Linked DNA regions of Rattus norvegicus. The protein of the gene in region 1 interacts with the protein of each later gene in a biochemical or structural test. Links are inferred from orthologs where the notes say so. Each region holds a gene or a part of one and is shown in the gene's direction. Other genes may lie near its edges. The genes, in order: Nherf1, Abcc2, Ezr, Pten, Nf2, Tbc1d10a and Abcc4.

Region 1 (4,098 bases):
CAGAATCAACCAGAGCCACCACAGGGAATGAGTAGAAAATGACTTATCCCCTTAGGCGGGATCTTCCCAGCCTTCCTGGTCCTCCTGTTGCCAAAAGGATGCAAAGTAGACCTTTGAATTCTAATGGTAGGCGTCACTAGAAAAAAATGGATACTGAGGTGACGCTTTGTACTAAGGTGCACTGGGAAAAACCCAGAGCACACACTTGAAACCAGAAGGTGGTCATAACCAGGGAACCTAGCCCAGCCCTGCCACCTCCCCTGAACCCTCAGCCTGGTTCTAGCCACGGTGCCAGCCCGGGCATGCTCACAGCCTCGTCACCCAGGCCAGACTTTATCCATCCACTCAGGCTGAGGTTTTGACTGAAAGAGGTGTGGAGGCTACTGGGAGGAAGCCTGTGGTTGCGTGAGCTCCCAGACACCTGGTCAGTGTGAGGAGAGCCTCCGCTGTCTGCCTGTGACTGGCTTCGCTCCAAACGGGCTGCCTGGTTCTGGACCCAGTGCTTAAGAACAGATGATGATGTGGTGGTGGGAGTTAAGGCAGGCGGATCTCCAGTGAGGCTGAGTGGGTTTTTCCCTTCTCAAACACAGTCTCAAACACAGCGAAGCAGCTTCCAACCAGGCTGCTGTGGGAAGTCTGGGGTAAGAGAACCCTGGGGAGGGTGGGGAGGAACCTGAGGCAAACTGAGATTCCACAAACCGAGGGCCACGGGAGGTGTGTGGCTGAGGCAGAAAGTTGAGCCTGTTGTGGTGGCAACAACTGGTCAGACCTGTTCCGGCTCACCTAGGCAGCCTGGGGGAGGGCCCGAGGGTGATGGCAGCTTTGTACAGGGGATTAGCTGGAAGGAAGCGAATCCTCACTCGGAACTCCTGAGGTGCTGGCGGTTGGGAGGTGGGGCTGCTGGAAGGGAGGGGCTAGGTCCCAGCAGGGTGAGGAGGGGCCTTCCGTGGCTACCTTCTCTTTGCTGCCCATTTGGTTGTCTTTGCTGTTTGAGGTGAGAGTTAATTTTTTAAGTAGCCACTGGGGAAAAAAATCCCAAGTATCAACTTCTCTGTCTTCTGTACCCTACCAAACACCCCGAAACAAATATACAGTGCCTGCCCAAGTGTTCTTTTTTCCACCTTTAAAATTTATTGTGTGTGTGTGTGTCTGTCTGTCTGTCTGTCTGTCAGAGTGCCATGGTTAGAGGTTAACCTGTGGGAGTCACTTCTCTCCTTCTGCTTGGTAGCAAACGCCTTAACTGGATGAGCAGGCCCCCACCCATCAAGAGTGAAGGGTTGGCATCGGAATGCTGACACATGGAGCGCGGAGGGGCTGGGGGAGGGCTCCCTTCACTCTTTCCTGCTCTCCCTTGCCTTTTGTAGCCCCAGCTAAGGATTTGGGTTTCAGAGCAACCTGGCACACTACCCTCCTCCACCCAGCATCTCAGAGTTCCTGGACTGTTCCTTAGGAGCAGGAACAGTGGTAAAGTGTTGGTATGCAGAGGGACTTAGTAAGAACAATGGTGACATCCAGGTCCAAGAGCTCCAGAGGGTTGCTTTATACAGTGCCATTATGTCATTGTGCCCCAAAGGCAACCAACGGGGTAGGCAGGGTAAAGGCAATAAGCATCTTCTATAAAGGAAAACCCTGAGGCCCAGAAATGGAAATGATTCGCCCCAAGTCACAAGGTAGTCAGGGACCTTAGGGTAGGTGACCACCCAGGGTTAGCCAGCCAGCCATTGTCCAGCAGGCTGCCCAGGCTTGGAGTTAGGGTCAGAGTAGTGCTTTGCTTCCAACTCCTGCAGCCTTGTGCCCATATTCTGTCCCATCTGTCAATCAGTGTGAGCATCAAGAATCCATCTGTCAGCCAGCGTACTGTGCGAGCGTCATCAAGGTAGTGGCTTCAGAGCCGAGCCTGCCTGAAGAGAATGGAAAACGGTGAAAGTTTTTCCCAGCTGAGTGCACAAAGGACAGCCGTTTGCATCCTTTGGGAGGCTGGTGAGATGGCTCAGTGGGTCAAGGCACGAGCTACCAAATCTCACAACCTGACCTCCCCTCACCCCCCATGGTGAAAGAGCACCAACGCTCACAAGTTGTCCTCCGACCCCCATATGTCGTGGACGCTGGTGTATGCATACTCTCTTTCCCGCACTGAGTAATTTTAGATGAAAAGTAACAGGTCCTGCTTTCCAGGCCACGTAGATGACATTGGCCCTGCCCTGCTCCTCAGGGCCTCCTCCCCATATGAGTCCCTGGGGATTAATGAGCAGCGCCCCACCTGTCCCACCTCTCCCAACCCCCATTCCTGTTGCTCCCTATGTCCTGGGCTCGATATGTCCTGGGTGACCTGAGGATGGTCCCTTCCACCCCGGGATCCTTCACCCTGACACCTACCAGGTTTCAGTCTTTCTGTCTCACATTTGGCTGGGCCGCCTGGCTCACCCAGGTCAAGAAGGGAGCCCACTGGAGAAGAAAGGCTTTACTGTACACAAGCTGTCCAGCTCTCAGTAAACAGCTATCCTTGCCTTCACAACAGAGAACAGATACATGGGCCAGGTGCCCACTCCTGAGCCTCAGGTATCCGGCCAGGCTAAGAGGGCCAGATGAGCCCTAGGTGGGGCAGGATTCTACCCAAGGAGGAGCAAAACATGTAATAGAATGACAAAGAGGGGAGCTAGCCGCCGCAGGGACAGTGGCTTGTTTAGAGCCACTCAGTCTGCTTCAGCGCTGTGTCCATTCACATCTTCTGAACCCTGGGCCAGATTCTCTCGTATTGCTCTAGAGTCTCCAATCACCATTGGATCGTTCATGAGCCTTCTAGGTGGGGAGGTAGCATTGGGCTGGGTGGGCAGAGAACACAGGGTCGGGACAGTAAGGAATGACACGGATGCTTCTTGTCCCTCGCAGTGTGAGCTCCGACCCCGGCTCTGCACCATGAAGAAAGGCCCCAATGGTTATGGCTTCAACCTGCACAGTGACAAATCCAAGCCAGGCCAGTTCATCCGAGCAGTGGACCCGGACTCACCAGCAGAGGCGTCTGGCCTCCGGGCCCAGGACCGGATTGTGGAGGTGAAACCCTTTACCGTGATCTCCAGGCTTTTCCCTCCTAAGCTTTGGTGCTCTGGGGCAGACTTCCACCATGTGTGGTTTGGTTAACCCATGGGAAATGGCCAGCGCAGAGATGCTGGATGGCAGGCTGCTCTGAGGGTAGACAGGAGGAAAGGGGGTAAGGGAAGGCTGGAGGTATAGCTAGCAACTTGGTGGGCACACAGACTGGCTGGCTGGCTGGCTTCTTTTCCCATCTCCGGTTCCGGTTTACCACGTATACGCTTGATTTACCTGCTAAAATCTAGACAGATACCACTGGCTGCCCTCACGGCCTTCTTGATGCCTGGCATGAGGAGGGGTTAACCCCACCCACCCCCACCCTCCTGAGCTTAGCTGTGAGACACCCTGTCCTTCGACTGCACTCAGGAGAAGAAATGTGAACTAAAGGCTTGGGCTGCTCCCAGAATCACAGTCTGAGAACCTTAGAGCCACAGATCAGCCTTTCCAAGACTTCTCACTTTACACGTGAGAAAACCAAGGCCCTGAGCGGGAGGTCGGTCAGAAGAGAGCCCAGCCCAGGCTCCCAGGCCTCTCCTCGATCACAGCTGTGTTTGTGTAGTCTCCTCTGGGTATTTTCTTTGGCTCTTCCCATATGTCCTGCTTCCCAGCTGACCGGCAAGAGAACCACTGGGAGGCACGTGAGGGAAGGCAGTGTTCTTAGGTGGGACCCCCTCCACCTACCCTCCCCAGCAACCCATCTCTGCCCTGCCTCTCAGGTCAATGGCGTCTGCATGGAGGGCAAACAGCACGGGGACGTCGTGTCTGCCATCAAGGCTGGAGGTGATGAAGCCAAGCTGCTGGTGGTAGACAAGGAAACAGATGAGTTCTTTAAGAAGTGCAGAGTGACCCCGTCCCAGGAGCACCTGGATGGTGAGTTCACAGTTGGGTGCCCCGAGCCAGGGGTGTGGCCAGTGCCTAAGGCCTGGTCAGACATGGGGGATAGTTTCTTCGATTGTTCTTTCTCCTTCCCAGACAGCCAGTGGCCCAGAGTGTCTGAAGGTGGCAGGT
Region 2 (4,098 bases), on another chromosome or scaffold:
TCTGCCCTTGGTGGCGGCACTGCTCTTCTGAGTTTTACGTTTTCCTCTAGCTCCTGGTTTTGGCAGTCCAGCACAGCAGGCAATGGTGTGTACGAAAGAACTCTTGGTTCCTGTCTCTGTTCTGGATCCTCTCGGTCTTATGCGGCGTATTCCAGTTTCAGACTCTGATACGAGCACTCCTGAAGGTAAGGGGGAAAGGGAGATTCCTTCCCTACAAAGATGCTTGTTCCAGAGCCTCTGGTAGCCAATAGAGGTCAGACAGCACAGCCTCAAGCAGTCTTAGTTTGGGGATAGAGTCATGCCAAAGGGCTTAGTGAGGGCTTTCAGCCGTAAGCCCGATTGTGATAAAAGACTCTGGTTTTTTGTTTCTTTGTTTGATTGTTTGCCTATCTTGCACCCACAGGACAGCAAGTCCAACATGGCCTACTCCTACCTGTTCTTCGTCTCCTACGGTTTCCAGATTGTCCTCCTGATTCTTACAGCCTTTTCAGGACCAAGTGACTCAACACAAGTGAGACTCTACATACACTAATTCCCTATATTATTTCATTGATGGATGCCCAAGCAGAACCTTGGAGATGTCTGGGTTTCATGGAGGTCTCATGATAAGGGTAGATTGGATATCACTGACCCAAAACTCTAACATCCAAATTTCCCCCAGATTTGAAAATTTTCAAAACAAAGACTGTACAATATTAAAAATGCAAATTGGAAAAAACTTCAAAACCAGAAACATTTTCCGTCCCAAATTGCAGAGAAGAGATACTCCACCTGTAGTCTCGAATGTTTTATGTATAAACCAACAGAGTGCTGACCATGTAGGAATACTGACTTCCATAGTCACCTGTAAGTGTGCAGCACAGACGGTTAACTCTCATATCTATGCCAGAACGTCTGGTGTTAGTGCCTCGGGGTAAGCACACTGACCAGCCAGCACATGGATAATAGCTGAGTTTCTAAAGCCAGGTCTAGAAAGTCAGTGTCTAATTTTAGACCCCCACAGAGTTCTTATTTCCAACCGACTTACTTCTTGATGATTTTATTTTTCAGACTCCATCAGTCACGGCTTCCTTTCTGAGTAGCATTACATTTAGTTGGTATGACAGGTAAGCAGTGCCCGGAGTATGGGTTCCTGTATCCTGATATGCTCACTTCTTTGAAAGTGAAAATAACGCTCAATTTTAAAACAAAATGCCTCCCATGGCCTCCACTTCTCTTCGATTTAGAGTCTAAGAGTGTTAAAACGTGTAGGTCAGTTCAAGCCAGCCCTTTTGTTGGACCCATTAGAATGAGGAGGAGAAACTAGAAGGTAATCGTTTCTGAGCGTTCCATAGGAGAAACAGAAGGAGACAAGAAAGGGGTTCATGGAGGCAGGCAGTGTGGACCAGGGAGAGGGGAAGGGAGACACAGCAGCCTGGCCTATCAGAGGGTACAACGGATATCTTTGTAGTTTGTGAACCTTCTGACAGGCTGATGAGGCCCATAAGTGTTTTAGAAATATTAGACACAGGGTATAAACATGGTCAGAATATCTAAAGAGCGAGTCCGTGGGGCTGGGGAGATGGCTCGACAGCTAGGATTCTTGCTTTACTTTCAGAGGATCTGAGATAAGTTCCCAGCACACACATCAAGTGGTTCACTTCCTGTAACTGCAGCTCCCGTGGGATCTCAGGCCTCCACTCTACACAGGCACTGGCACATGTGTGCATATACATTCTCTCTCTCTCTCTCTCTCTCTCTCTCTCTCTCACACACACACACACACACACACACACACACACACACACACACGCACAGGCACACAGGCATACATGCACAGGCACACAGGCACACATGCACATACATACATAATTCAAAGCTAAAGAAAGCAAATTTGAGATATAGTAATGCACATACTTTAAAAATCAACTCATTAAATTTAAATATCTAACAACAAGGATATCCTAACTATCTATCTGATAAGAATCATAATTTGAAAGCAGCAATTACTGTGAGTTAGCTATGGAAACATCTACGGTTTCTCCTGGTAACAAAGACACCATGTTATGCTCATATTAGGAGAAAAGGCTGGATCTCAGTTATGGATTGTTACAAATAAAGGTGAAGCTAGTTTTCCATCCACATTCTCCAGCCCTGAATTGGATAGGCCCGATCTAGACATAGACTGTGAAGACAGTGGTGAGGTCACTCCATTTCCTAAGGGCATCATGGAGCTCCCTCGAGGACCTGTCAGAGTGTAGAGAGGTGGCCGGTACCTGATGGAGAAGGAGCCATAGGAGGACTTTTGATTCAATAGAGCCTCTCTCCGTCTCTTCTCCATCCTGTCTTCTAGCATATTCTCTTGTCTCTGTGCTCTCCCCCCACGCTTCTGTCAAATAAAGGACCAGGAGATGTAGACAGTGGAACAGTAGAGAAGTCCAATGCTTCATCCTCTGCCTCAGATCTGGAGGATAGGTTCTGACAGAAGCAGACTGACGTAGCCCAGAGAGACTCAGCCTGTGGACTGTTCTCATTCCAGGACTGTTCTGAAAGGTTACAAGCATCCACTGACACTAGAAGATGTCTGGGATATCGATGAAGGGTTTAAAACAAGGTCAGTCACCAGCAAGTTTGAGGCGGCCATGACAAAGGACCTGCAGAAAGCCAGGCAGGCTTTTCAGAGGCGGCTGCAGAAGTCCCAGCGGAAACCTGAGGCCACACTACACGGACTGAACAAGAAGCAGAGTCAGAGCCAAGACGTTCTCGTCCTGGTAACTTTAACTCAAGTGTCCGTGTGAATGCACTGTATGTCTCCGGCAAGAAGCAGAGTCGTTTCTGAATTTTTTTTTCTTTCCTCACATTTTCATACCATTCTATATATTTGCACTGCAGTTTACATTAGTGGGATGCACAGTTCTAATAAGGCCTGAGTGGTCGATGCATCCGTGTATAATATACTGTTGTTTCTCCTATTGAATATATTTGAAGTTTTTTGTAGTATAAAATACTAGTGATGGTGATGATGATGGTGATGATGGTGATGATGATGATGATGATGATGATGGTGGTGGTGGTGGTGGTGGTGGTGGTGGTGGTGGTGGTGGTGATGATGATGATGATGATGATGATGATAGCAGCAGCATTAGAAGAGCTAGGAGGATGGCTCAGTGACTAAAAGCATTTATCACACGAGGACTCTAGCGACCTGAGTTTGAATACCTAGATAAAAGCTAGACACCATAGTACAAGTATCTGTAATTCTAGCGTTCCTATAGGAAATGAGAAATGGAGGCAGGGCAATACGCAGAAGGTCTTTGCCAGTTAGGCAGATTGATGTAAAAGAGAAGAGACCGAAGGGTGGTCTTGATGGGTTGGGTCTTTGTTTCTTTTTGGTGGCTGGTACTGTCTCTGTGCTGAATATTGTGGTACTGCCATCATGGAGTCAGTTGTGTTAAGGTCTGGGGCCATGTTACATGCCGAGCTACAACTTCAGACCTTGGGTTTTTGAAAGTCTTTTTTTAAAAATGTAGTCAAGGCTGGCCTTGAACTCACCGTGTAGCTCAGGCTGGCCTCGAAGTCACAATCCACCTTAGCCTCCGGAGTACCGGAAGTCTGTCCATGAGTCTTTGTGATGCATTCTCTCTAGTTTACGCATCTGCTTCTCCAATCTGAAAGAGATTATGAGTTAGAAGCAGGGGAGAGAAGCAGGGAGTGTGGGCAGGAGATGAGAAGAAGATTACGACTATACAGAGAGGGTAGCCGGCTCACAGGCCCTGCTGAAGAAGCCTGGAGCCATTCCAAGCACACAGTCTTACCATCCTTGTACTGCACAACTCTGTGAACACGGTTGTTTTTTTGTTTTTTTTTTTTTTTTTCGGTCTTGTACTTAGGAAGAAGCGAAAAAGAAGTCTGAGAAGACCACCAAAGACTATCCCAAATCGTGGTTGATCAAGTCTCTCTTCAAAACCTTCCACGTAGTGATCCTGAAATCATTTATACTGAAATTAATACATGACCTTTTGGTGTTTCTGAATCCTCAGCTGCTGAAGTGAGTGCCCGGAGCTTGCTGTGCTCCCAGGATTTTCTTTGTTACCTTCCCTTCCCTTTGTATACGCAGGC
Region 3 (3,618 bases), on another chromosome or scaffold:
CTCTAACTTGGAGTCACAACTGACTTCTGTCAAAGGCACAGGAGAAATTCCTTCTCCTCACCCATCCAGCTGCCGCTGCTAACTCTGGAGTGTTTTCTAGTAGTTTCTGAGTCTGTTTCTTGTAGGCAGGGGTTGGGGGAGCCTCATGTTAACCTGTAGTTCTAACTCTGGGATTGTTGTGATGGTTTTTTCCTAAAGGGGAGTTGGTGCATTTCTTTGCACGTACCTGTGAGTCACAGTGGGACATTTTTGGGCCCTGTGCCTTTGAGGCCATGGGCCAAGGTTGTTTTCTCCTGTGCGATAAGAGATAGGTGGGTAATAAAAAATTCCTGTTTCTCTTAGCCCTGTGGACTCCTCCCTGAGAAGCCCAGTGACTTAATAATCAGTCTGTGAAACCAGAGGGGAGCCCCACCCAGGAAGTTGAGGGTTCCAGGCAGCCTCCTGTAGTCAGGGGAACTAAAGGGCCACCATTTGGTGTGGTACATTTGGAGGGAACCAGGAGGCATTTCTAAATAGACCAAGCCTCCCCACTGTAAACTAAGCTAATCCTGGAAGGAGCAAGAACTTAGGAGGCAAGGTTGTCTGTGGCCATGGCCCTCAACCCGTGTGTGTATACTGGTGACAGAGTTTCCAAATACTATGCTCTGCCCTCCTCTCTGAGAAAGAAACCGCCTCCATTGTGAGCACATTAAGGCAGCCGGCCCAAGCAGCCTCTGCACATAGCAGCCAGGGTTTACCGTCCCAGGTACTACTAACACACTGTTCCAAGTTCCTTGTGACTATTTTTTCCGACTTAGTCTTATGGCCTTCCCATTATACTGTTGCCCTTGTTCTGTGGCCATGAGGCTGAGTGACAGAGTGTAGGATGCTCGAAGGTGTGACGGCGAGCTCAGGGGTAGTCAACATGGTTGGTAGGCCTGACACCGGAAGGCTGTGGTACATCCCTGGTTCAGGAATCCAGAGCAGTGGGTATCAGGGCAGTCTGTACGAGCCCGAGAGCTGAAGGGCTTGGCAGGAGATGCGGAGCTCAGAAGTTAAGGTGAGGCGTACACAAAGGGACGGGCAAGGATGAATGGTGACAGGCTGGGGAGCTGGAGAAGCAGATACCAAAAAACATGGTACACTGGGAGGCCAGTGATAACCAGCTTCCTCAGTGCAAGCCTCGCTCTGTAGGCCGAGATCTAGCATGTACACACCCAAATATACAAGTGGATGCACATTCCCAGGACCCCTCCCACTTGGCCCACTGAGCATATATTCAATATACAGGGATTGGCCCCCCTCCTCTATGGCCTTTGGCCTTTTAGAGAAGCCAAGAAACTCTTGTGAAGTGTGGTCTTAGGAAAGAAGGCCATTGAAGGAACTGAGGCCAAGGCCGCCCTGTTGTGTTTTGTAGGACTTCGTGTTCTACGCTCCCCGCCTGAGAATTAACAAGCGGATTCTGCAGCTCTGCATGGGGAACCACGAGCTGTACATGCGCCGCAGGAAGCCCGACACCATCGAGGTGCAGCAGATGAAGGCCCAGGCTCGGGAGGAGAAGCACCAGAAGCAGCTGGAGCGGTGAGTGACCAGGCAGGACCGTCCCCGTGAACTGTTCTCGCCTGGTTTATCACAAACCATCCAGACACAAGCTATGGCATCTCTTTGCTTGTAGTGGCAAACCAGCAGCTACGTCTGCAGGTCTGGGTCTGTGTGAACCTCACCCTTCCTTCCTTGTCTCTTCCTCTTCCCTATACCAGACAACAGTTGGAAACCGAGAAGAAGAGGAGAGAAACTGTAGAGAGAGAAAAGGAACAGATGCTCCGGGAGAAGGAAGAGCTGATGCTTCGGCTGCAGGACTTTGAGCAGAAGACCAAGAGGGCAGAGAAAGGTCAGGAGCTCATGCTGCCCGCCCTTCCCCCACAGTCACTCCGAAGTTGGTTCCCCCAGAGAGTCAGGCAGGGTTGGCTCACAGCCAAGAGGGAACTTGTTCAAGAGTGCTGTCTCTGTTTAATACAACCCCATCCCCACCCCCAGACAGAACAGAGCAATGGCAGTGCCATCATTGAGAGTAGAAAGCAATCCTGTGCTTTATTACTGTCTGTGCCTGCCATTGATCTCACACACACACACACACACACACACACACACACACACTCACTCTCACACTCTGCTAAGAATGTTGAACTTTAGTTAGATGCCACATCCCCTCAGCACATACCGGCTGTCACAACCAGCTCGTGACGTCTCTACCATACATCCCAGGCCCTGCCCTGCAGCCCTGCCCTCTGAGGACATTTTAGAATAGAGAAGAGATGCTATTCAAGCAGGCCATTTCTATGTCCCAAGTCAGAGTCCAGGTGATGAGTCGTTAAGGCTATTCTGCCTCAGGCTGCCATTACTGGGGTGCAGCAGGGTCAGAGAGGTCAGACCTGGCCCCAGGAACCATGATATCTGACCAGCTGCTCCTCAGTGGTCTCTCAGCACAACTGAGGAAATTATCTTAGCAGCGGCAGGAATGAGCCCCGAGCTGTCCCTGCTCACAGCCCAGTGACTCAGTCCAGGACTTTGTGATCGGGAGATGGGCTTTCACTCAGTCTCCTTCAGCCCACTTGAGGTGGGACTGGGATGCTAAGGCTCATTTCCTGCCCGGGAGTCTGAGCATCCCTGACTCCATGTTCTCTGCAGAGCTCTCCGAGCAGATTGAGAAGGCCCTCCAGCTGGAGGAAGAGAGGAGGCGAGCCCAGGAGGAGGCTGAACGTCTGGAGGCCGACCGCATGGCCGCCCTGCGGGCCAAGGAAGAACTGGAGAGACAGGCACAGGATCAGATAAAGAGCCAGGAGCAGCTGGTAGGGATTGCCTGGTTTCAAGATGCTGAATTATAGAGAGGCTGCTCTTGGGGAATCAAACAAGTGACATCTGCCTTTCAAAGCGCTCAGCTAGTGCTGTAAACAGATCTGTACAGGGGGGTTGGGGGGAGGGCTGGACCTGTCTGAATCCTCAGTCAGGGAGGTGGGGGTGGATGTGGATGCTCAAGATCCCAGAGACACAGGGAGGTGCCTACATGGTCTCCTGAGCAGGAGGAGGGAGGGGGCACAGCTCATCACCAGGAAGGCCGTACATTCTTGTGGGCAAATGTTGCTTCACCAATGGACTCTGCCAGAACGATTCAGCATACCCTTTTACCCTCCCTTGTAGGCTGCAGAGCTGGCAGAGTATACTGCCAAGATTGCCCTGCTGGAGGAGGCACGGAGGCGCAAGGAGGACGAGGTGGAGGAGTGGCAGCACCGGGTGAGTGAACCCCAGAAACCAGGCATGGCCCTGGGGTATTTCTTAGGAGGGTGCACCTCTGGGGGCTCAGCTGCAGGCCACATCACAAGTTTCTGGAACCTCTTACAATCCTCTGAGGATGCCTTCTCTGTTAATGAGGCAGAAATCCCCAAAGGAATGGCCTTGACCCTGTTCACGAGGTAGAGCAGCACGCTGGCACTGGATTAGCCGAGGAACAAAGGGCCCACTCATTCCTTCCCCTCACCATGTCCCTCTGTCCCACGCTCTTCAGCTGTGATCAAACACCCCTCACCGGGGACTAGCTTTGATTCTAATTGCTTGGGTACCCCTGCGGCGGGGTCATAGACC
Region 4 (4,574 bases), on another chromosome or scaffold:
AGAGAGGGGTGGCGGGGGCACGTGCTTGGATGTGGCTGCTTGTGTAACCAGCTCCCCAGGCGCTTGGCCCCGACAGCGCTCCTGCGGACCGCTCGTGGGTGCTATTCTCCGCTCTGACTCCGAAGAGAGGGGTTCAGCTGCCTACACGGGGCATGGGGTCCCGGAAGATCATCTAATAGAGAAGAGGGGACCAAGCTCCTGCCTCAGGAGCACACAGATAGGGGAATGGGAATTTGGAAAGTTCCCCAACTAGGACCACACGTGACCTCCTCCTGAAAGTAGTTCCGACTGCGGCTCATGTATCCTTCCACCTAGCCTTTGAGCCCTCCCAGGCCTGCTCGCCCCGCCCACTCGCTGGCTGCAGCTTCCGACCGTCCCATACTCCACACCCGGGCTCAGTAACCGGGTCCTCGAACGTGCACCGTCCGACAGGGTCAGAACTTGGCCACCGCGATCCAATTCTGCCGGGTTTTCTTAGCGGCCACGAAGGGGGAGGGGCGGCTTATCTCCTAGAAGATGGAGCCTGACTGTGATCCGGTGGACCTACCGCTGCGGGGAGCTGCGGGGCTCTTCGCCGGGAGGTGGAGGGGTGTGTGTGAGGTGCACTCTATTCACGGAGATCCACTTTGTCTACCCAGGGGTGTCCTTTGGGCCCTGGAAACTCAGGGGCAGATGTCAATGTACACGCCCCGTATGCACAATCATCATGCTTGGCTGGGAGCGTTCATCTTTCGGGCAAATGAACCCAGCTGCCTGGGAAGCAAGAGGCGGGGCAGGGAACCGGAGCCCGATGAGGTGACCCACGCGGGAGACACAATAGGGGGTTGTTCTTTGTGCAAAGACTGACACCTTGAGGACACCGTGGGGGTGAGGTGCGCTGTCTAGGTAAAGACTTGCCGCCGACAAATCCTAGGAAGCACTGCAATCTGACCACAGCGCAGGGCAGGGCGTGCAAGCCGCTCGAAAGAAACACAGGGACCTACGCAGGAAGGGTGAACCTGGCCCTGAGGTTCCTAGGGTGCTGACCAACGCGGTCAGCTAGTCCGATCCACCTGTGAGCGGTCAGCGATCCTGCTCCGCGCACCCTCGCTCGGCCACAACCTGCCCTACCCTTTGCCGGGTCTCTGCGCTGAGGCCGAAGCCGGCGTAGCTCCAGGAGCGAGCCGCGGCCACACTGGGCATGCTCCGCGGCGCTCCCCGCCCCTGTCCCACCGACGCCCCGCCCCTCCCCGCCCCGCCCCTCCCCCGGCTCGGCGCCCGCCTCTCGCCTCCCTCCGGCTTCGGAGGCGCCCGGCTCTCCCGGCTGGGTGGCGGAGGGGGCGGGCTGGCCGGCGCACGGTGATGTGGCGGGACTCTTTGTGCACTGCGGCAGGATATGCGCTTGGGCGTCGGGACGCGGCTGCGCTCAGCTCTCTCCTCTCGGAAGCTGCAGCCATGATGGAAGTTTGAGAGTTGAGCCGCTGTGAGGCCAGGCCCGGCGCAGGCGAGGGAGATGAGAGACGGCGGCGGCCGCGGCCCAGAGCCCCTCTCAGCGCCTGTGAGCAGCCGCGGGGGCAGCGCCCTCGGGGAGCCGGCCGGGCGGCGGCGGCGGCAGCGGCGGCGGGCCTCGCCTCCTCGTCGTCTGTTCTAACCGGGCAGCCTCTGAGCAGCTTCGGAAAGAGACGGTGGAAGCCGTGGGCTCGGGCGGGAGCCGGCGCAGGCTCGGCGGCTGCACCTCCCGCTCCTGGAGCGGGGGGGAGAAGCGGCGGCGGCGGCCGCGGCTCCGGGGAGGGGGTCGGAGTCGCCTGTCACCATTGCCAGGGCTGGGAACGCCGGAGAGTTGCTCTCTCCCCTTCTCCTGCCTCCAACACGGCGGCGGCGGCGGCGGCACGTCCAGGGACCCGGGCCGGTGTTAAGCCTCCCGTCCGCCGCCGCCGCACCCCCCCTGGCCCGGGCTCCGGAGGCCGCCGGAGGAGGCAGCCGCTGCGAGGATTATCCGTCTTCTCCCCATTCCGCTGCTTCGGCTGCCAGGCCTCTGGCTGCTGAGGAGAAGCAGGCCCAGTCGCTGCAACCATCCAGCAGCCGCCGCAGCAGCCATTACCCGGCTGCGGTCCAGGGCCAAGCGGCAGCAGAGCGAGGGGCATCAGCGACCGCCAAGTCCAGAGCCATTTCCATCCTGCAGAAGAAGCCTCGCCACCAGCAGCTTCTGCCATCTCTCTCCTCCTTTTTCTTCAGCCACAGGCTCCCAGACATGACAGCCATCATCAAAGAGATCGTTAGCAGAAACAAAAGGAGATATCAAGAGGATGGATTCGACTTAGACTTGACCTGTATCCATTTCTGCGGCTGTTCCTCTTTGCTTTTCTGTCACTCTGATAACGTGGGAGTAGACGGATGCGAAAATTTTCTGTAGTTGGGGTGACTATAACGTTTAATACTGGTCGCGTTTCTAGATCGTGTATTTTCTGTCTCTTCCAGTGTATTCAACCTAGGGAGTGTTCGGCTAGACGGAACTCATGCCTGCTTGCAAGTGTCAAGGCACGGATTGGTTTCTTGTCGAGCTCTGTGGTTTGTTCTTAAAATCTATTGTCCGTTAATGCAGAGTACTGTACACTGGATTAGTCGGCTCGTCAATCGAGCCTTCTAAATGAACTAAAAAAAATAGACGCTGTGGTGTCGTGCATATTTCGATTAGATCGTGACTTAGGCCCTAGATCTAGGGTATAGATCAGATTAAAATGAAAGTCCGTGCAGCACGTAGGCATATTGCCTCAGAATCTTGCAGTGATTTTTTTTTTTTTTTTAGTTTCCTGGGTTGCATTGGAAGATTTTTCTAAAATGTGACTTGTGGACTGATTTGCATAACTTTATAAGCATGGTCATCTTCAGCCTAGACCGTGCACATTTGAGGGTAGAAGTAGGTTTGTGTGTTTAAACTGAGGTAATTACAACTTTGGAGCTGCATTTAGAAGTTTTGTAGTTTGAAATCAATAGTATTATTGGAGCTTTTAATAGAACTTTTTTAAATTAGACTTTCCTGATGGGGCGTGGGATAGGATATGAAATTTGCATTTCAGTAGTATGTTCATTCACTTGGCCTTGCCATACATGATAGAATGGAGATGGAGTAGTTTTTGATCCCAGATGATGGTGTCTGTGGGAGTTTAGGGATGCTGTGTCTGTATGGCAAATGACTGCAGAGGTTAAACTCAGCTCTCACGTGAGATTTAAGGAGTAGCATGAATTTGCTGCTTTTTTTTTTTTTTTTTTTTTGGTTTCAGGTGCTCTGACCCGTTGACTTATCTGTGTGTTTTACCCTGTTTTGTGTAGAACATCAAATATAATTTAGCCAGCTAATAGCCAGACATACTGGCAAGAATGGATCACCATCTCCAGACTGTAGGTATGCTAGCTCTCTGCATACAGTAATTTACTGAGTCAGCTTGTTGAATAAGAGAAACCCAAGAATTTTAACGGCGTAGAGTCGTGATCGTCTAAAAGTTAGGTCTTTGTACTTCAAAAGTTCGTGGTTTAAAGCATTTACCGTTGCAGTTTCAGGTATGGCAGGGGTAGGAAAGAGAGGCCTCCTCTTTTGCAGAGTGGGAAGTATTGACAGAAATTGAGAGGTTTTGGGAGGCCAGTGTGTCAGGTGTGTGAAAACACAAGTTGCAGGTCTGAAGAAACAGCCTTTAAATGATTGGGCCTTTTGTTACAACCCAAAATTTTGTTATGTGACAAGCATTGAAGTGAACAGTAAGTATTTAGTTAAAATTATGTAATTGCGTAATCAGTAATAAGATATTCTTTGCAAAAGGTATTTCTTAGTTACTATTAGTAGATATTTTCATAAGATAGAAGGACAGCAGCAACTTGTCTATACATGTCCGGCTAATAGCATTATGGGACACTTTATTTATTGAAGAAAAATTTTCACTTGGAAGAGGTTTGATGGATTGCGTTAATGGTGTAAAAAGCATAGCTAATTTTGATGGAGTTTTTGTTCTGAAATGAAGATGAAGCTCACTGAAGAGCTGGCTTCACAGAGGCTAATTTTCTTTCAAGCTAAAAATACAGTTTGAGAGGAATCTTTAATTTTTGAGTTTGCATTAATTGAGAAAGCTTCACTCAGGGTGAACTTGACCCTTCTAAAAGATAATTGGAGAAAATTCCAAGTTGTCACTTGCTTCAAGGCAGTTTACTGTTGGTACAAATTAATGATAGTAATCTTCATCTAGAAGGAATAGTCAGGTACCTATTTAATTAAAAAAAAAACCCACATTCAAAGAAAGATCTAGAATGCCTGATAGACTTCTCGAAGCTTCCAAAGTACACTTCTGCTTTGCTTTGCCCTTCCCATAGGACTTCAAGATTATTTTGTAAATTTTTTTTTAGTATGAGAGTGACGTGATTGCAGTTCCTTATTTGATTTCATAGTGCATGGGCTTCTGCATGTGCAATTTATGTGGCTTAGAAATCCAGACCTGTACTTTTAGTTATGGTATGCATAGAAAGCAGTATCAAATATTGCATCAAATGACTAATAACACTTAATTTCTAGAGCTGTGGTTTGATTGAGCCCAATGTTGATGTGAAAA
Region 5 (4,098 bases), on another chromosome or scaffold:
AGTCCCCAACCCCTTATTTCAGTCTTTAGAACATCAATGCCTTCTCCCTTTAGAAAATTTAGGATCCGTTCATTTGTAGCCAAACTCTACTTTCGCAACTGAGTTACCGTTGAATCAGGGACCTTGGCCTTGGCCCTACCAACTCTCGGGGAATAACACCAACCATTATCTGGGAGTGGTCCTCTGCTTCAAGGATATAGAGTCCCTGTCTCTACTGCTAGCTGCCAGCAGCACCACTCCAACCTTAAACATGTCCTGGGGCTGGGATGTGGCTCAGGGGCAGAGCTCTTCTCTAGCATGCCCATGGCTCTCTGTTTTTATTTATTTTTATGTCTTCGTTTGGGGCCAGGGCTGAGTAGGAAGAGGCAGGTTTCCGATATCCCAGACTTGACTTTGAACTCATTATATAGCCAAGGATACGCTTGAACTCCTGATCCTCCCTGCCTCGTTTACAGTGATTGCATAAAAGGCACACCTGCCACGCCCAGCCTACCTTGATTCTCTAGCACTGCAAGAAAATAGTCTCCAGACATTTTCATGGCAGTGGGCATTACAGACCTGCTTTTGAGTCACTGACTTAGAGGGTCAGGACCGAGTTTTAAGTTGAATACTCCCTCACAAGCATACCTTTAGCTGCAGTGCATTCTATACACAAATGCTTTTTCCTTTCGGTGGGCCCTGCAGGGCCCTGCAGAATACTTGTCAGACAGACCCGGAGTGTCTTAGCGGGAATCGCAGGAAGGTTAAGACTGGCTCTTCGCTGCTTGAGAGAGTTCAAGAGCACTGGCTGCTCTTCCATCGGACCCAAGTTCAATTCCCAGCGTCCACCTGGCAGCTCATCACCTTCTGTAACTCCAGCCCCAGGAGATCCGATGGCCTCTTCTGGCTTCTAAAGTTACTGCATCTGCATGTACAGGTGCACAAACATTTATGCAGGCAAAATACCTATATACATAAAAATAAAAGTTAGAATGCTAAAAATAAATAGAAAGACCATACTTAGGTTTTACATGGGTGCTGGGGATTTAAAACCAGGTTTTGTTGCCTGTGCAAGGAGGCCAGAGAAGCAAGTGTAGTGTCTGAGACTGCTCTCCCCACATGCAGCTAGGCACTGAGCCTATGCTGTCTGAAACACTTGCCTTCTCAGATGCGGTCTGAGGAAACAGCTGACCTGTTGGCTGAAAAGGCTCAGATCACAGAAGAGGAGGCCAAGCTTCTGGCTCAAAAGGCTGCAGAGGCTGAGCAAGAGATGCAGCGAATCAAGGCCACAGCCATTCGGACAGAGGAGGAGAAGCGCCTGATGGAGCAGAAGGTGCTGGAGGCTGAAGTGCTGGCGTTGAAGATGGCTGAGGAGTCAGAGAGGAGGTGAATGGTTGGTTGTCATGGGCACTGGGACTTGGTAAAGGGTTGTTTACCTGGTTTTGACCCTACGGGAGCTGGTTGTAGCATCTTCAAACTTGTCTGTTGTGGAACAGGACTATAAGACATCTTCCTTGACAGGCTGGTGGGATTGGAGCTGGGGGGTGTGGGGCATAGAATATAGGTTTCCAGAGAATCTCTGTGTCGTGCCTCCACAGCACACAGCTGTCCTTCTAATAGTGACGTTTGTGTGGAACATGTTTAAGCCCATTCATAGACTGCTTTGACCAAGTTGCTGCTTCAGAGAGGAAGAGGCTCTTCAACATTAACAAACAGTGTGTGATGGTCAGGTAAGGCCTGGAGAGACAGCTCAGAGGTTAAGAGCACTGGCCATGTAATTCCAGTTCCAGGGGATGTAACCTCCTCTCCGGCCTCCATGGGCACCAGGTATGCTCATGGAACACATGCAGGCAGATACCTTTATACATATTAAAATAATTTTTTAAGGGGAGGATGAGGGCAGGGAGATGGCCTACTCAGCAAAGTGCCTGCTGCACAAGTATGAAGACCTGGATTTTTATCCCCAGCACCCACATAAACCTGAGCCTCAACACAAGAGTTGAGAGTGAAGCCTCACTAGCCAGCGTGTCTAATTGAATTAATGAGCACATGCTTAGTGAGAGACCTCCACTAAGGTGGGGACCAGTAGAGGATTATAACAGGCACACAAGCACACCCACCCGCCTACCCTTGGTTTTTTTCTCTTTTGATATAGATCAGTGGGGCAACTATTTACTTCAAAGGGAAACTAAGTACCCATTTCCCAGTGGTTTTTTAGGCAGTTAGGAGAGCAGGGAAGCTGTGTTTTTTGACCAGGTTGCTGCAGCTTGTAGCCAGGTTGAAGGGTAGAACTGTTGTCTGTACTCTTTAGACTATTCTAGGCTCTGAATTGTTCTAGTCCTGCAGCCTTCCGATAAACACTGGCATATTCCCCACGGCATCTGGCTCTGTTGATTTAGAGCCCTTGAATTTGGCTCTTAACTAGGAAAGTACATTCACTACACTTTTTCTCACCACTGTCTGCATGTCACTCTGAGAATATGGTTCCTTGATGCCTGCCCACTCCAGGCCCCTTTCTGTGTATGGGTCTATTTCTAGGGCTAGACCTCTGGGCAAGCTTTCTGTGCTACTCCTAACCTGTAGAGCAGGGCTTGTGATACTCTTCTTTGCCCAGCCAGACCTCTGGGTCCTACCCACTCCTCCTCTTCTCCATCTGTTTTGTTGTTGTTGTTTTGAGACAGTGTTACTTTATAGCCCTGGCTGGCCTGGACTCAGTCTGCCCTCAAACTCAGAGATCTGCCTGCCTCTACCTTCTAGTGCTGGAGTGAAAGGCATTGGATACCACACTTGTTATTTTTGTTATTTTGAGATTGCCATCTGCCTGTGTTGCCCGGCTGACCTCTGATTCCTTGGCACAGACACAAACTATTACACGTTTCTGGCTTGCAGAACTGCCACTTTGGTTGTTTCCCACCAGTGACCCCACGTTTCAGTCTAGCTTTACCTTTAGGATAATCGGTTCTCAGGAATACTGTTCTTACTTTAGAAGTTCTGGCTTCCTGTATGTCCCTGTCACCATGTCCTGGTTTGCCTTTTTCAGTGCCATGTACAGGGTTAATCCAGGCCATCTCCCTGACCCCTTCTTTGGAGCTGACTTTTTTTTTTTCTTTCTTTGCAGGGCCAAGGAGGCTGATCAGTTAAAGCAAGACTTGCAGGAAGCCCGAGAAGCAGAGCGAAGAGCCAAGCAGAAGCTCTTAGAAATCGCCACCAAGCCCACATATCCAGTGAGCCTGGGCTCAGTCTGGCAGCTTTTGGCTGATTTAGTCTGGCAACTTTCCTAAACCTCCAATCCAACCCTTTAGTTTACCTCACATTGCCTTCTGGGCAACAAAGCAAGTTCAGGGCATGGATAGGACCTTCTTGGTCTGCCATTTAGCCTTAGGCTGACCAGTCAATTACCTCTCTTGGTACTTAGATAACAGATCATAGGGCCCTTTTCAACTTTCGAGTGTTTATGACTCTGCTATAGTCTACCCTCAAGAGAATTTGCTGTCTAGCTCCCTACTGCCTAGCTAAGTGTAATCTTCAGTTGTTGGTATATACTATATGTTACAGTGTAGTTCTGTGAAGGGACTGAGTATACACCTCAGACCTCAGAGTGAACTACTGTTGTGCCAGAACCAGCTGTCAACCTCCAATTTGGGACAGGTAGGATGACATGTACTAAGTGCAGTCACAAGACAAGTAGACCTTGCTCCCTTCTTTTCTTCTGTACATTCTACTCTGCAAAGTTTTCACTCACTTTTCTTCTATTTATATAATATCATCAACCGGAAATCTCTATCCTGACAGATATGCACAGGTGCCCAGACAGCCCAGCCTTGGAGGCAGAAAAGCTTGGCATGACTGACTTCTGCAGAGGAGCAGGGAAGAGAGGATGGAATATTCTAGGCAAGGATATAGTATATTTACACCACAGACTCATAACTCATTCACACATATGTTACACGCATACTGCATGGTTGTATACATGACAACACACTGTACATTGGTACACATGGTACATTCACAAATGGCACAGGTGCATTTAGGACGCAGAGACCTAAGAGCCCAGGGTTTGAGTTAGAGTTTGCCATTGCCACGTGTCCTTGTTATCTATCCCTGGGTAACAGATAACCC
Region 6 (2,902 bases), on another chromosome or scaffold:
TCCCCTTTTCCCCTCCCCCATTCTGTGTCCATGGACTGGTGTCACTCTTCCTGAGGGACCGTCTGTCTGGTCTGTTCATCTGTCTTCCAGTGCTCTAGGGTTCTAGCTACCTGATGAATTACTGAATGTTCACCCAGTACTAGGAACTCATAGGGGCTATGGTCATGGCGCTGTGGCCTTGATGTCTCTTCAGGAGGCAATCCAGCTGGATGGCGAGATCCTCTTCTCACTGCTACAGAAGGTGTCCCCTGTGGCTCACAAGCACCTTAGCCGCCAGAAGATTGACCCCCTGCTGTACATGACGGAGTGGTTCATGTGTGCTTTTGCCCGCACGCTCCCCTGGAGCTCTGTGCTGCGAGTTTGGGACATGTTCTTCTGTGAAGGTACCAGACTATGCTGGATTGTGGGGAGGGGGTTGCAAGAGAAGCCCCAAAGCCTCCCTGGACTCATCACCTGCCCCCATACAGGAGTCAAGATCATCTTCCGCGTGGGGCTGGTACTGCTGAAGCATGCCCTAGGCTCCCCAGAGAAACTCCGAGCCTGCCAGGGCCAGTATGAAACCATCGAGCAGCTGCGGAGCCTCAGCCCCAAGATCATGCAGGAAGCCTTCCTGGTTCAGGAGGTGTGGACCATCATCTCCCACTTGGCTATGGGAGGGAAGGGGAGCTGGCAGTTGACTTTGGAGGAAGCCTTGCATGGCCCCGCCCCAAGGGCGGGTTGGTCAGGCCAGGGCAGGGTGGTTGGACCTCTCATCCTTTTGCTAGGTGAGGAGGGTTGGGCCCAAGAGGCACTTTGCAGTGTCTTAGCTGGTCCACTCCACTTGGGGAACAGAGAAGAGCTGCAATCTACAGCCCCTTATTTTCTTTTTGGATACTTGTTTTCAGAGGCTACAAACTAAGAGATACACATATGGCCAGCTTCTGTGGGGACCACACCCCACACCCAGGCTCATCCTAGTGCACATTGCAGGGGCAGACATACGAGGTCATCTGTGCCCATCTCCAGCTGTCCCTTCTGAGGCCCTGGCTCCATGTCTGGCACTCAGACCACAATTATATCCTCCATGGAGTCAGCCATTAGCAGACAGCTAAGGGATGCTGGTGGGCAGGACAGCAGGAGGGAAAGGTCTCACTCTTCTGGTGCTCACATGTTCCTCATTGCCCCTAAGGTGATAGAGTTGCCTGTGACGGAGCGCCAGATTGAGCGGGAGCACCTCATCCAGCTGCGGCGCTGGCAAGAGACCCGCGGTGAGCTGGAGTGTCGCTCTCCACCCAGGATGCATGGTGCCAAGGCCATCCTGGATGCAGAGCCTGGTCCCCGACCTGCCCTGCAACCTTCACCATCCATCCGCCTGCCCCCAGATGCAGCCCTCCCCAGCTCCAAGACTAAGCCACACAAGCAGGCCCAGAAGGAGCAGAAGCGGACAAAGACCAGTGGGCAACCGGACAAGTCCCCAGGCCTCAATCAAGCCACAGTGGTGACTGCTTCAGGAGATGCATGTCCTCCTCAGGATGCGCCCCCAAAGGATCCAGTCTCCCAGGACCCGGCTCCCCAGGACTCTACTCCTCAGAACTTAGCCTACCACCATTCCCAAGAGAGCCTGACCTCCCAGGAGAGTGAGGACACCTACTTGTAACCCCAGGAGCTCAAGCCTCCGGGCGGGGTCTTCTCTTGTCTTACACGGTTCAAAGACTGACAACACTCCAGGTCCTCTGCACCTGAGGAACCAACTGCTTGGCCATTGGGCTGGGATAGAATCTGGCTGGTCCAGTACAGGTTCTACCTGAGCCTCCTTATTTATTTTCTCTTGAGTTGAGCTGGTCCAGCCAGCATAGGCAGAAGCTGTGGCCAAAGGGGTTGGGTCTCAGCCCCATCCTTCTGGGGGATGTTCCCCAAGGATTGGGTGCTGACATGCGGGGAAGCGGTGGGGTACTCTTTGTGTAAAATAGAAAATATGGTTTTGTACGGAAATAAACAGGCTTGTATATAGAGCTGACGTGTAGCTGGGGACCCAAAGGGATATCATCCCTCGTCCCTCAGCAGGAGCCCCTCTGAAACGTACAGGAGACACTAAGTCCAGAACCAGCTGCTCTTCTTGGCTCTTCTCTTTCAACCCATCTTTGCTTCCATGTCCACCTCCTGACAGTCAATCCAGGCTGAAGCCCACCCCTGGGGCAGAGCAGGGAATCGTCCGTCCCCAACACCTTGGTCTGTGCTTCTTTATTGGGGGTGGGGAGTAGACCTTAAAGAGGTAGCCTAAAGCTGTTCCTCCACCAAGACCAGATCTAGATGCCGACCATAGCAGGGACTAGGGAAAAACAGCCTTGGTAGGAACTTTGAGGCGTTGCTCACTTCAGATCCCAGGTAACTTTTGAGAACTCACTCTCACAGCATCAGGGGCTGCCACCAGGGCAAGGCACTGCAGACGCCTGACACAGGCCTCCACCTGAGGCAGACAGGTAAGGGGAGAAGTTGGCCTCCTTGATACAATGCTACTTTCTATCTGCTGACACAGTCCACGTGCCAGGCTGGGCCTGTGCCTGACATAAGAGGAATTCTATGTTGTCCTCCAAGAGCCACATTTGTATCCCGAGCCCCTCACCCAAGTGAGCAGACTGCCGTAGAGGGGCAGGCAGGTGCTCAGTGACAACCTGATAACTGGCAGTGACGAGAACAGGGTGTCCCTGGGAGAGGGCCCCCCTTCTGCTGAGGAAGCAGCTTTTCTAGTCAAACAATAGTGGTTGTTCCTGGCCTCAGACCAAGCTGGGTCAGACCATAGCAGGGAGCAGGGAGGGAGAGGCAGACTCACAGGGAACTTTCAGGCATTGCCTGGGCCTAGAATGTCCTCCTGGTACAGCCGGGGATACTGAGGCCCGAGAGGCGAATGCTGACCAGAGGCTCT
Region 7 (4,538 bases), on another chromosome or scaffold:
CTCTCTCTTTACTGAGACAACGGCTCTCAGTATTCCTTCTAAATGCCACGTTGGTTAGTGTTCAGAAAAGAATGCTAAGACGTTTCGAAGTAGCTCAGATCAACAAAACTAAAAGCCAGCACACTGCTCAGTAGAAGCTGAAGGGAAGGTTTGACGGTTTGGAGCCTGCTAATGGGATCTGCAGTCCCAACACAGTCCCCTATCGCAGGGGATGGGGCAGACACAAGGCAAGTCACTAGACTGCTAACTTCCCAAACTGAATTTCAGGCTTTGAAGTAGAACCGGCAGATGATTAAACGCCTGGGCTAGAAAATGCAGGGCATTTTAAAGAGCACCAGGAACTAGGTAAGGCCTGTTGATTTTGACGTATGAGAAACCATGGAGGGCGAGGGTGCATGGATGGGAGCTCTGCGTTCCTGTGGAAATGCTTCCCTTTCTGCAACAGGATGTTTGAAACACATGCCACGGAATGCCATGCAATAAACGTCATTCAGCTCAAAACCATCAACACCTTGCTACTCTGTGTACCTGAGTTTTAACCAATTAATTAAACAATTAACTAATTTTCAGAAACAGATAAGTCGTTTGGGTTGGTCCTGAAGTCCTTAACTCAAGATATTCTTCCGCTGCCTCAGCCTCCTGAGGAGCTCAGACTTTACATCTATTATATATTTTTATATGCTTTTTATGTAAATACATATAATTCGGGTGTGTGTGTGTGTGTGTGTGTGTGTGTGTGTGTTTGCGTGCGCGCGCGCGTGTGCATGTGCTATCTACTCTCTATGTTTTGTTTGGAGCAGGGTCTCTAACTGCACTGGAAGTTGTGAATTAGGGTAAGCTGGAGGACCAGCGTCCTCAGGGATCCTTGCCTTCCATCCCAAGCTGGGAATGTGGGCCACCATGCCTGTTTTTTTGATAGTGGGAGGAATTTGGGCCACTGTGCTTATAAGGCAAGCAGTTTACCTACTGGGATATTCTCTGGGCTCCAAAACTCATTTATAACATGTCGGTACATGGCTGTGATCCCAGCACCTGGGAGGTAGATGTTGGGAGATCAGGGGATCCAGGTCATCCTTGGTTATTTACGGAGTTAAGAGGCTAACCTGGGATACATGAGACCCTGTCTCAATTCTTCTCTCTAAAAACAGCTTCTTTACATATCCAGTTAGACCTAGAACTCCCTAGGTGTCCCATCGATCTTGAACTTCATACCTTCCTGCCTAGCGTGCTGCTGCCTGGCTAATTCCTTTTAGCTGTATTTATTTTTGCTCTCTGACCTCTCATGTATGTCTGTCTGGCTAGGAAATCCCTAGCCATCAAAGATGGGCTAGAGTTGTTGTTTCTCCTGTCTCCACTTCCAAATTGATGGAATTAAATCTGTGGGCACCACACATGACTTGACTTCTAAACAAATGCTTATTTGCACCAAGACTCTGTACAGAGTATTGTTATACCTTTAAATAAACACAGGAGGAATGACCAAAGAAAGCTGACTTAGTTAATTTTATTTTTGTTTTTTTTTTTTTGGCAACCAGACACAACCTAGAGTCACCAGAAAATCGGGAACTTTAACTAAAGAGCTTCCCAGATGGGCTTGACCTATGGCCTTTGTGAGAGAGTGTCCCATTGGAGATGGTGTGAGGACATCTGGAGTCAGCACTACCAGTTCAACAGAACAGGGTTGTGGCTTCAGCTCCTGGCCTGACTTCTCTCCAGGAGAGACTGTTGCAGTGGAAGTGTAAGCCTGACAGAAACCCTTTCTTCCCCGAGCTACTTCTGGTCAGAGTATTTTCTCACATCAAAAGGACGGGTAAAACTGTCCCTACCACCGTGAATTCTAAAGGGCTCTTCTTTCCTTACCCAGTGCTGAAGTGAACCGAACGGGCAGAGAGGCAGGCAGTTAACACAGAAACCAAGGCTTGTGAGCAGGAGTCCAAAAGCCAGGACCGTATCTTCCTCAGTGCAGCCTGGCACCTCTCATGCTCACTTGACCATCCCTAAAGCAGTTCAAGGTCACATGCCAACTTGAGTACAAATCAGATTTCATCATCACTAACCTTATGCTCTCGGACGAGCTGGATCTCTTGAGTCTGAATTTACTCAGTAAAATAGCAAAACCATCTCGAAAAGTAAATTAAAAGTGGAGTAGGTCTACAGAACGGCACACGGAGGGGTCCTGTAATATCGGTTCCTCTCGCCACTGATCCTCTGCGAGCCTCTCAGGGCTCGGTGAAAGAAACAGGCCAGGCGGTGTATTATCTGATTTCCCTTACCCAATCTAAGAGGACAGCCAACTGCTTACACAGGTCCGCCATGCCAAGCAATGTAGGAAAGAAAGGTCAAGAAGCCGCCCGAAATGGCAGCATTCGTTCATCTCCCCAAACCCTAGCGTCCTAATATCAGGTGGCCTGACTGTCTTCACGGCTTTCAGGTCGGGAAAGGCAAACAGATAAACCTTGCTGTTGTTCCAGGTCAGACTCTTGGCCTGCAAGTGGGGGAATCTCCTACAGCACCCCATTTGGTCCTGATGAGGGCAGCATGCCAGGGGAGGGCAGGCAAAGCTAGGCGGCTTTCTCCAGATCTCCAGGAGCGCAGAGCCCAGGGGGCGTTTCCGAGCGCGGGGGCGGGCACAGCACGCACCGCCCCCGCCACCTTCAGGGTGGTGCTTAGGCGCTGATCTTAAACTCCTGCAAAGTTTGCAACGGGTCCCAAGCACGTGCAGCTTCCCCGCCCGGCTCCGTGTTCCCCGAGCAGCCGCCCGGCACCTGCGCGCGGTCTCCGCCTTTCCCCAGCCTCCTTTCTCCTGCGCTCTCACGCGACAAGCCGCTCCCGGGCTCTAGGAGGCGGCGGCGACAGCGCGTAGCGGGCGCCCCGAGGAACCCCGGGAGGCGGGGTCTGGGCGGGCTGGCGCTGGGTTCCCGGAAGCCGCTGCCTGCCTCCGAGGCTCCCGCCGAGCGGACCGGCGCGGCGGCCGGAGCTCCAACATCCTCACCCGCGCCTCCTGGAGCCGCCTCCCGGCCGCACGCACCGCGGGCGAGATGCTGCCGGTGCACACCGAGGTGAAACCCAACCCGCTGCAGGACGCCAACCTCTGCTCGCGCTTGTTCTTCTGGTGAGTGCCCTGCCTGGGCCCGTTCCGCCGTCCACGAGACGCCCCGCGCCGGCTCAGCCGCGTGTCCGTGGTCCGCGCTGGTCCCGGACGGTCAGAGGATGCTTTCCCTACACCGCCACACATCCCGGGCTCCTTGCCGCGCGTGCGCCGCGCCGCCTGCGGTCCCCGCCCGCACCCCACGCTCGCGCTGCTCCCCGCCGGGAGGGGCACGCGGGGACCGATGGCAGACACAGGTGGCGTCCACCCGAAAGCGTGGGGATCCGTGGGAGGTGCGAGGGTGCCCGGGAAGGGTGAACCCGGCATGCTCACCTTCGCTAGTTTTCCATCTCGGTTCAGGGCTTGCACAACTCCCTTGCCCAAACTGCACCTCTTTATTTTTCTTTAAGCAGCTGTTAACAGCTGGCTTTGTCTAATCGCAGCTGAAGCTAGAGTCCTGGACCAACACCAAACGCTAGTGTCCCCATCGCCTTCCGAAACACCTTACCAGACATCTTTCAGGTTCATCGATTGCGTGTGAGTGAGTGTGTGTGTGTGTGTGTGTGTAAGGAAGGAAGTTTAATAGCTTCCCGGACCCTGCCTCTCTTTTTGACCCCTCTGTGTGTGTCCTAGTATCTTACTATGGCTGTGGGTTAAAAGATCACTTTATTACGATGTCTTATTTAGTTATGATGGGACACTACCCTTGAGCAAGATCTGCATGACGTTTCCCTCTTGACTGAAGGAGGGTAGAGGAATATGCTTTTCCTTGTTAGATGGACTTTTTTTCCCTTCTGCCTTTGATGACCATATCACTCTTGGGGATGAGTTTCTGAAGCCTGTGGTGGTGGTGGGGGTCTTATCAAGATCCGTAGTCCTCAGAGACAGGATCCATGTTCTCGATGCCTAAAACCACTGAGTGGGTTCCCAGATCTGATCTGGCCCCAGCCCCGCCCCTCTCGTTGTAGGAAACAGGTGAAGAGGCTTAGATAAACGACATTCCTAAGTAGTTTTCCACCTAGTAACCTGGGCTGGCTAGGGCACGCTTGGCTAACTAGAATAGTTTTTATTTCTTGACCTCTGCCATGTTGTCTTTCTCACGTTCTAATGTTCCCCTTTTAAAATGAGAAAGCCTAGGGAGTTTCGGAGTCATTTACTGTTGTTCCAATTGCCGATACAGTGTGTGCAGGATCCTTTTGGACACTCGGTAAAGAGGAGCATAATAAGGGATGTGTGGGAAATTAATAATAATAATAATAATAATAATAATAATATAATAATACTCAAAGCAGGCGGACTGTCTCAGTCTCCTGGGCTTTTGGCAACACACAGAACTCCTGATGACTTTCCCGTGAGTGGACTTTCAAAATGTAGGTGAAGAGAACTGGGTGTGGGCAGAGCATACCTACAGTTCAGTTTCTTGGAAGGCTAAGACAGGATGATGCTTGAG

Evidence for each region.
Region 2: the proteins of Nherf1 (region 1) and Abcc2 form a complex in vitro, tested with the Homo sapiens proteins (2 studies listed by BioGRID). The link is inferred for Rattus norvegicus from reciprocal best matches to the Homo sapiens genes NHERF1 and ABCC2.
Region 3: the proteins of Nherf1 (region 1) and Ezr form a complex in vitro, tested with the Homo sapiens proteins (2 studies listed by BioGRID and IntAct). The link is inferred for Rattus norvegicus from reciprocal best matches to the Homo sapiens genes NHERF1 and EZR.
Region 4: the proteins of Nherf1 (region 1) and Pten form a complex in vitro, tested with the Homo sapiens proteins (3 studies listed by BioGRID and IntAct). The link is inferred for Rattus norvegicus from reciprocal best matches to the Homo sapiens genes NHERF1 and PTEN.
Region 5: the proteins of Nherf1 (region 1) and Nf2 form a complex in vitro, tested with the Homo sapiens proteins (2 studies listed by BioGRID). The link is inferred for Rattus norvegicus from reciprocal best matches to the Homo sapiens genes NHERF1 and NF2.
Region 6: the proteins of Nherf1 (region 1) and Tbc1d10a form a complex in vitro, tested with the Homo sapiens proteins (2 studies listed by BioGRID and IntAct). The link is inferred for Rattus norvegicus from reciprocal best matches to the Homo sapiens genes NHERF1 and TBC1D10A.
Region 7: the proteins of Nherf1 (region 1) and Abcc4 form a complex in vitro, tested with the Homo sapiens proteins (3 studies listed by BioGRID and IntAct, with this or other methods). The link is inferred for Rattus norvegicus from reciprocal best matches to the Homo sapiens genes NHERF1 and ABCC4.

The regions. Positions count from the first base shown.
Region 1 is NC_086028.1:100,911,743-100,915,840, forward strand, and holds part of Nherf1 (Na(+)/H(+) exchange regulatory cofactor NHE-RF1), read left to right. Parts: intron 1-2,889; coding exon 2,890-3,051; intron 3,052-3,806; coding exon 3,807-3,960; intron 3,961-4,098. UniProt on the Homo sapiens protein: Scaffold protein that connects plasma membrane proteins with members of the ezrin/moesin/radixin family and thereby helps to link them to the actin cytoskeleton and to regulate their surface expression. Necessary for recycling of internalized ADRB2.
Region 2 is NC_086019.1:252,630,744-252,634,841, forward strand, and holds part of Abcc2 (ATP-binding cassette sub-family C member 2), read left to right. Parts: intron 1-50; coding exon 51-185; intron 186-403; coding exon 404-511; intron 512-1,050; coding exon 1,051-1,106; intron 1,107-2,518; coding exon 2,519-2,750; intron 2,751-3,869; coding exon 3,870-4,027; intron 4,028-4,098. UniProt on the Homo sapiens protein: ATP-dependent transporter of the ATP-binding cassette (ABC) family that binds and hydrolyzes ATP to enable active transport of various substrates including many drugs, toxicants and endogenous compound across cell membranes.
Region 3 is NC_086019.1:49,375,064-49,378,681, reverse strand, and holds part of Ezr (ezrin), read left to right. Parts: intron 1-1,396; coding exon 1,397-1,560; intron 1,561-1,739; coding exon 1,740-1,870; intron 1,871-2,667; coding exon 2,668-2,828; intron 2,829-3,177; coding exon 3,178-3,270; intron 3,271-3,618. UniProt on the Homo sapiens protein: Probably involved in connections of major cytoskeletal structures to the plasma membrane. In epithelial cells, required for the formation of microvilli and membrane ruffles on the apical pole. Along with PLEKHG6, required for normal macropinocytosis.
Region 4 is NC_086019.1:240,042,337-240,046,910, forward strand, and holds the start of Pten (phosphatidylinositol 3,4,5-trisphosphate 3-phosphatase and dual-specificity protein phosphatase PTEN), read left to right. Parts: upstream 1-1,370; 5' UTR 1,371-2,230; coding exon 2,231-2,309; intron 2,310-4,574. UniProt on the Homo sapiens protein: Dual-specificity protein phosphatase, dephosphorylating tyrosine-, serine- and threonine-phosphorylated proteins.
Region 5 is NC_086032.1:83,871,290-83,875,387, reverse strand, and holds part of Nf2 (merlin), read left to right. Parts: intron 1-1,147; coding exon 1,148-1,365; intron 1,366-3,097; coding exon 3,098-3,203; intron 3,204-3,771; coding exon of another isoform or gene 3,772-3,825; exon of another isoform or gene 3,826-3,870; intron 3,871-4,098. UniProt on the Homo sapiens protein: Probable regulator of the Hippo/SWH (Sav/Wts/Hpo) signaling pathway, a signaling pathway that plays a pivotal role in tumor suppression by restricting proliferation and promoting apoptosis.
Region 6 is NC_086032.1:83,305,188-83,308,089, forward strand, and holds the end of Tbc1d10a (TBC1 domain family member 10A), read left to right. Parts: intron 1-193; coding exon 194-383; intron 384-467; coding exon 468-622; intron 623-1,168; coding exon 1,169-1,636; 3' UTR 1,637-1,991; downstream 1,992-2,902.
Region 7 is NC_086033.1:102,179,865-102,184,402, reverse strand, and holds the start of Abcc4 (ATP-binding cassette subfamily C member 4), read left to right. Parts: upstream 1-1,490; 5' UTR 1,491-3,038; coding exon 3,039-3,112; intron 3,113-4,538. UniProt on the Homo sapiens protein: ATP-dependent transporter of the ATP-binding cassette (ABC) family that actively extrudes physiological compounds and xenobiotics from cells.